Saccharomyces cerevisiae S288C: one gene and its partner. Changing the gene in region 2 together with the main gene of any one other region gives a genetic interaction. Each region holds a gene or a part of one and is shown on either strand. Other genes may lie near its edges. The genes, in order: GPM3 and CYB2.

Region 1 (3,617 bases), on a different chromosome or scaffold from region 2:
CTCCTTGTTTGATGGGTTATGGTGAAGCTTTAACTAAAATGAAGGGTAAAGTCACCGCACCTGAAGGGTCCGTTTACCACGAATGGTGTGAAACTTACGCATCTTCATGGTATCGTGAAGCCATGGATGAAGGTGAAAAACTTTTGAACCACATCTTAGAAACATACCCTCCAGAGCAACTTGACACTTTAGTAACAATCTACGCTGAAGTTTGTGAATTAGAAACAAATTTTTGGACCGCTGCGCTAGAATACGAGTAGATAAGATGGCTTATGCACAATAGATAAAGATATACCTACATATAATGAATTATAAAAACAAAAAAATAATAATAAGAAAAAAGTTTCTTTGTTATACAATCTATAAAAACTTCTTATAGAAATTTAAACACGTTTATTTAGCTGCTTTTCGTTACTCATTATTCTATCAATAAAGAAAGAAGGAAATATAAAAGGAAACCATGAAAAAAATGGCGCTAATTTTTTATTTTTAAAAACTATTCATGGATTCTTTTCGAAACCCTCATCACGAACCATTTGAGCATTAACTTTAGCTGATTCTGGATCCAAGTAAAATTTCCTCACAAAAGAGTAATTGTCTCTATCCAACTCTATAACTAGCGGAATGCCGTTGGGAATATCGACATCTTTGATGTCTTCATCTGAGATACCTTCCAATACTTTCAGCAGAGATCTTACAGAGCTGCCATGCCCAACTATAACACACGATTCTTGACTGATTTTGTTGGCGGTAGACAGAACAACATTATTTAAAAATGGTTTCAATCTGACGACCACTTCACAAAGAGACTCACTTTCTGGCAGACGCTCATTAGCCTTCTCTTCGGGGCCGTATTTTAAGTGTCTATTGGGCTCCTTAAAATCATAGCCTGTGGAGGACCCCTGATCATTTTCCTCTTGGACCATTTCCAGGTTTAGGTTGACTTTAGGGGGTTTTCCGTTGTAATCTCTTCTGATATACATGTATTTTTCCTTACCGTATTCTTTCAAGATATCTGGCTTTCTTTGTCCTTGCCATGCGCCGTAATGACGCTCATTTAACCTCCAGGTTTGCAACACAGGCATACTTCCTTCAAATCTTGTGTCCTGCAGCTCCTCCTTAATGTTTGTATTCGTAGTAATTACATAATTGGTGTGTTTTAGTCCCAACTCTTCGAGAATAACGTCCATGGTCTGCTGAGTTCGAATCAACCTTGAAGTATAGCCAATCTGAGGCAAAGAGATATTGTTAGAATCGCAAAACTGCTTGATCAATTTTGCAGAGTGGCGGGCCTGAGACTTCCCTTTTTCCGTTAATTGAGCATCAATCCATCCGCAGAATATGTTTTCTGAGTTTAATTCACTTTGACCATGCCTTAAAATAAACAGTTTAAAAGTGTCAGTAACAGTCATAACTATTCGTTATTAGTAGATCTTTTTGCACTATTTCTCAATCCTCTCAAAGAGACTTTTATTGTAAATCCTCGATTGCAGGTTGTTTTATCACATATGTATAAAATGGAAGCTTCTATTGTTTTATCGAACTTGTCAATGAAATCTCGCATTGTTATCATCTCATAATACAAATCTGAAAAAAAAAGTTAAAAAACAAAGGAAAGTCACACAAAACTAGCAAAAGTAACAAATCAAAATTCGCTGACAGTTAGTGCTGTCGTATCCTGTCACACTTACATAATATATATCTGTTTACATAATCTAATAGCTTGAACAAAAGCAACAGCAAAGGTTGCTAATTAAAACGTGTGCTCTTAAGGACATCATAATTCTCTATCAAGGAAAGATTGGAGCATACCCTGTGGGGTTTCATCATATTCTTTCAGGGTTACCTTGTTATTGTCGTCAATATAAGAATTCGATTGTATGAATTGTCTCCTTGGCAATCTCTTAGATAAGACGATGTCTCTTAAAGACGCCAAATCCGGTGTCACCGTTGATCTATCAATAAAGTACTTACTTCCCTGTTCCACATCGCCTGAACATTTGTAAACATGCAAATGCTTTAAATAGTCTTTCACACATTCATGTCCCGCTGTTTTAATGAGAGATTTATCCAACTTGATGGCAAAATCATCATTCGTGCTGTTCATCTCCAACTTTAAGAAATTCTTATCTGTAGAGTGCTTCATAAATGTTTTCATGATAGAAAATCTTGCTTGCATGTGTGGTTGTCCCCACTTACCAGTTTTTGGATTCCAGTATTCTAAAGCTAGGAGACCCGCACGGGCCATTTGTAGATATCCAGCGTAGATCACTTTATCTTGAGATTCGACATCATGGAAACCAAAAATATCAAGAATCTTCTTATTAGTAAGCAAAAACATGGCAATTACTTCCGCACGACATTCTTCAAATGGGCCAGCTAACTGTCCAAATTTGGAACCCCAAGTTTCACCAACTTTGTAGTATGTGCTCACCGGTTTCCCATCCAAACCTAAAGGAGGGTTTTCCTTATCAAAATTAAAGCCGTCTGTAAATTCTGTCAACAACTTTCCTGAACCATGTCCTAATAATTCATGGATGCCTACTTGGACTTCAAAAGAATCACTTTGATATTTTTCAAAAATTGGGCGATCTTCTTGCGATATAAAACTTGGCGGATGCTTGGATGAGCTTTTGGCAGCCGCGCTTAAGATATTCCCCAAAGAAACATTCTTGAACCCAATTTTAAGCCGAACATCATCATAGTTTGGAATATTGATGCCCGCTGGTATACCCGATCCAGTAAACGTTAATACTTCTAGAGAGGTGAAATCTGGTGGATTGAAAATCGGTTTTTCGTAATCTTTAGACCATGGTAGTAAGGAAATGAATTCTTCTGCGTTGTTAACCAAGCTGGAAAATTTAGCAGTACGTTCTTTGTTTTGAATTGCAACCAACGATTCAAATTCTCCAATTATGCCCGAGGGTTCTCTATATGTTTCGATAAAACCGATATTTGTTTCAATGACGGGAGATATATCTTTGACCCAAAGTTTTTGTGCTTCTTTATGTGCTTGAGAAGAGCCAGTGACAAAGTGGTTGATGTATTCCTGAAGCATTGCTTTTTGAGTATCATTAGCCGCGAATTTTTGAGCTTCCTTTAAATACGATGCTACTAAACGCATTTCACGTGAATGATCACCAAAAATGAATTCTACTTTGGTTACAGCATTGGATAATGTGATCTGTCCACTGGGGTAGGTTTCTGTTATCTGGTTTTTCACATTCTCAGAGGCAACCCAGATTTGGAAACTGTTTTCACCAACTTTGTTGATTCTTGTGTTTTCAGGCAAGATGGCAAGTTCAGCAAACAACTGCTCTTTCAAAAGAGCCATATCTTCAGGTGTCACAGGTAAACCCAGATAATAGGCTGAAGTATAACCTTGAGAGGGAAACCCTAAGAGAGCCGCCTTCTCTTCCACATGGTAAATACCAATATCAATTAGCTCATTGATGGTGGAAAAAAGATGATGAGATGTGAATTCATGGTTAACGTCAACAGGAGATAAAGTGAGCGGAGAAGAACACGGATTAATCTTGGCCAGCTCCAAAAGCTGTTTGAAGAATTTTACCTCACAACGAGGAATAAACTTAGTGTCACCAAACGATTTGAAATTA
Region 2 (3,932 bases):
TTTTTTGAATGATATTAAGTTATACGAATGTTCGATAATATATATGTATGAATAAATAAAAAGTTTTTAAAGTAGCCTTAAAGCTAGGCTATAATCATGCATCCTCAAATTCTGTTAAAGTAGGTCCCTCATAAACTTCATTATACAGCACGTCGTTTGGTACTCCAACTGTTCTTGCCTTTAGTGTTGATAGATCTAAAAGATCAGGCTTCAATTCCGCAATGCTAGTAACACCTAATAGTCTCATAGACATTTCAATTTCATCTCTTAAAATTTCAATGGCTTTTTCAACACCATTACGACCATAGCATGAGTTCGCATACAAGAATGGTCTACCCAAACCAACACCTTTAGCACCTAGACATAACGCTTTCAAGACATCTGTACCACGACGAACACCACCGTCCACGAAAACTTCCAACTTATCCTTCAAGTTACGTTGTTCCAGGATTGGCATGGTTTCAGCCAGGACTTCAATGGGAGCCCTTGAAAAATCTAATTGTCTACCACCATGATTGGATAGAACCACCCCACTTACACCGATTTCTGCTGCTTTGATAACATCTTCGGTACGTTGAACACCTTTGATAACAATAGGTAGTTTTGTCTTTTTCTTCAACTCTTCTATATCTTTCCAAGTCAAAGAGGGGTCAATAAACTTTGATAACGCTCTCGAAGCACCTTGAGATTCTTCTACATTAGTTTTCTTCATCGCTTTTGGACCAGCCTTTGTATTGGAAAATTTCAGCTTCATATCTTTTTCTCTTTGACCTAAACTTGGAGCATCCACAGTGACAAATAATGCCTTTACACCCAGCTTTTCTACATTTTTAACCAAATCATCAGTGATCTTTCTATCAGAGTTAACATATAGTTGGTACCATTGAATTTGTTTATCAGAGGGTGCTGCTTCAATAATTTCCTCAGGGGAACATGAAGCCAAAGTAGATATCATTTGTGGGACTTTTGTCACACCTTGGCCACAACCTCTGGCGACATCTTTTTCACCTTCTAAGGGGTTTCCCAGTTTACACAAAGCTGTAGCAGACACGTAGAAGGGAACATCCACATGAGAACCCAACATGTCAGTTGAAATGTCTACTTTGCGTACATCTACAAGGATCTTTGGTTTGAAAAAAATCCTATGATAAGCATTATGGTTTTCTCTGTGAGTAACTTCGTCGTTAGCACCGGAGGAATAGTAGGCCCACGCTTGTTTAGTCAAAGTTTGAGAGGCCAAGTATTCAAAGTCGTAAAGGTTAATAATATTATCTAGAGGAGGTAGCAGCGATTTTAGTTGTTCTTTTCTAGCGATATCTTCCTTAGTTTCACCAGGAGCATAAGGAGGACAGACAAGTTCAGGAGGCATGGATCCTTGAAGGGGACCCAATTTTTTCTCGGGAGCTATATACTTATCGATGACATTAGGAGCATGTAGTGGTTCAAAAATAGCAGTGACATCTTTCCCGGCGTTAAACTTGATAACATCCTGCCCACCTGGATGATTTGGTAGGAATCGCGTTAAGTCGTATACGTAACCATTGATCACAACCCAACAATCATCGGGCTTGTTATGCTTGGCAACTTCAGCGGGCGAAATCTTTTGTTTATTCATATCCAGTTTCGGCTCGTTGTCTATTTGGCCATTATGCCAGTTTAGATACGCCACGGAACTAGTAGCGGCTAGAATTGCACCGACTCTCAAGGCAGTCCATGACTGTGTGCGTTTTCTTGAGTCTTGTTCGAACGACTTGGATTTTGGAACGGTAGAACCGTACGCGCGGATTGTGTTCAATCTAGTCTTAGACGCTCTGAGGATAGCAGCCTCACAGTTCTTCGAGATTTTTAGTAAAGGTTTGTATTTTAGCATTGACTACTTTTGTTTGCTTTCTTCTCTATGCGGGAACTGTATTAGCGACATAGGATGTAAGAATACGAAAAGATGCAAGAAGATTAGTCGACCAGGTACTTATATATTCACATACTCCAACTGAAAGTATTGGAGATCTAAGGTTCAGCAGTTGGTTCTTGGCGGTTCTTGTATGACATTATTATTGGTCGGGTCGTAGTTCTCTCGAACAGGAGGAGGGGGCAAGGAGATATCGGCAGGCTTTTTGCTAGCGCCTTGTTTGAAAAGCGTGGGGGTAGGTCTCCAAGCGATTATTGAGGAAGTAGTTTCAAGTATTACAGAGTCCAGGGCACAAGGGTCTTCATTATAGAGAGAGAATTTTCGTGAAAAAAATGGGCAGAATGCCACATGTTAGCAATGCAACGACTTGAGTGGGGGGTGATCCTTCCGATGTATGCGTGAAAGATCTCGTGTTGTGCAGGAAAGGGAATCATTTCGGAAAAAAAAGATGCAACAAGGAGGATGGCATGTGGATACTACGTTCTTGCGTAATATCCTTTTTGTTGCCTGTGTTAATACGTGAGCAACATTTTTTGTTAAAGTAGGCGATCAACTATTGCCCCCTGATATTGGTAGTAATTCTGCTAAAATATCGGCTGAGAAATGGTGATTCTCAAATAATTGCTGGGATTCCACTGGATATGGCCCCATTCTTAGATATATGGAACGTAGTAGAAGGCCTCTTAGAGGCTATGGGAGTCTCTCAAGAGAAAATCGACATTTTTACGTAATCATTCGTTCATTTCACTTTATACGTCATGATTCAATATCGTATTACTTTATCAAGTACCCGCGTTTAAACTTCATTAAATGACTGCGTCTCAATCTTTATGTCATCCTCCCTCCGCAAGTGACAATGTACTGGTAAAATAAAAACTAACTAACTAGATGATATTTTTAGAGTTTTATTCCAACGTTTCTCAATAGGCGATGGAGGAACAGAGTGAATATAAGAGGCTCTGTGGATTTATGGTTACCGGATTTATTTCGTAAATTCTTATTGAAGAATGGGTGAATTTTGAGATAATCGTTGGGATTCCATTTTTAATAAGGCAATAATATTAGGTATGTAGAATGTACTAGAAGTTCTCCTCGAGGATTTAGGAATCCATAAAAGGGAATCTGCAATTCTACACAATTCTATAAATATTATTATCATCATTTTATATGTTAATATTCATTGATCCTATTACATTATCAATCCTTGCGTTTCAGCTTCCACTAATTTAGATGACTATTTCTCATCATTTGCGTCATCTTCTAACACCGTATATGATAATATACTAGTAACGTAAATACTAGTTAGTAGATGATAGTTGATTTTTATTCCAACACTTATATTCTATATATCCATAACATTGTCTACATATAATCCGAGAGGTTACGACAACATTCATATAATAAGGGTAGTACTGACACTTTATTTTGAAGTAAATCAAAATAGTCACTCTCGGTAGCCAAGTTGGTTTAAGGCGCAAGACTGTAATTTACCACTACGAAATCTTGAGATCGGGCGTTCGACTCGCCCCCGGGAGATATTTTTTTTCCCTTTTTCTCCAGGCCTAGTGAGGTTTGAGTTTTGAACGTTTTATAGATAGATGTAAGGTAGCCAGAATGAGCACTTAGCCTTTAAAGTAAATTGAGTAGAGATACGTAAACAGTCGTGATAAATATGTAATACATTGTATTATTTTAAATAGGTTAAATTTTCTTTTTTTTTTTTCCATTTCATTTTCATTTTCATTTCCTGCAGTTATTTTTTTTCTTATTAATCTATATCCATGTAATCGTTAGCGATATTGTTGTTAGTCAACGCGGCCATGGCAGTACCGGGTGCTTGTGATGCAATTATACTTTGGGATGGTAGAAGATGATACTGGTGTTGTATAATACTAGCACTTCCAGTAGGACTCGTGCCTGTTATGTCGCGATTAGTGTTACCGAAATAACCATGAATCATGTACTCTTCTGTTTCAGAATAAAATTCAGATTCGTTCAGTAAGCGGCTGTTCATAGTGTGGTG

Evidence for each region.
Region 1: mutations in CYB2 (region 2) and GPM3 together harm fitness more than expected from each alone (negative genetic interaction), as found in Saccharomyces cerevisiae (one large-scale study listed by BioGRID).

What each region holds. Positions count from the first base shown.
Region 1 is NC_001147.6:221,063-224,679, reverse strand, and holds GPM3 (phosphoglycerate mutase family protein GPM3), read right to left. Parts: upstream 1,413-3,617; coding exon 501-1,412; downstream 1-500. Other genes in the region: THI20 (trifunctional hydroxymethylpyrimidine kinase/phosphomethylpyrimidine kinase/thiaminase), read left to right, coding at 1-260; YOL057W (dipeptidyl-peptidase III), read right to left, coding at 1,778-3,617. UniProt on the Saccharomyces cerevisiae protein: Could be non-functional.
Region 2 is NC_001145.3:165,439-169,370, forward strand, and holds CYB2 (L-lactate dehydrogenase (cytochrome)), read right to left. Parts: upstream 1,871-3,932; coding exon 95-1,870; downstream 1-94. Other genes in the region: YML054C-A (uncharacterized protein), read right to left, coding at 2,185-2,343; YML053C (uncharacterized protein), read right to left, coding at 3,678-3,932. UniProt on the Saccharomyces cerevisiae protein: Catalyzes the oxidation of (S)-lactate (L-lactate) to pyruvate with subsequent transfer of electrons to cytochrome c. Is involved in the utilization of (S)-lactate as a sole source of carbon for growth.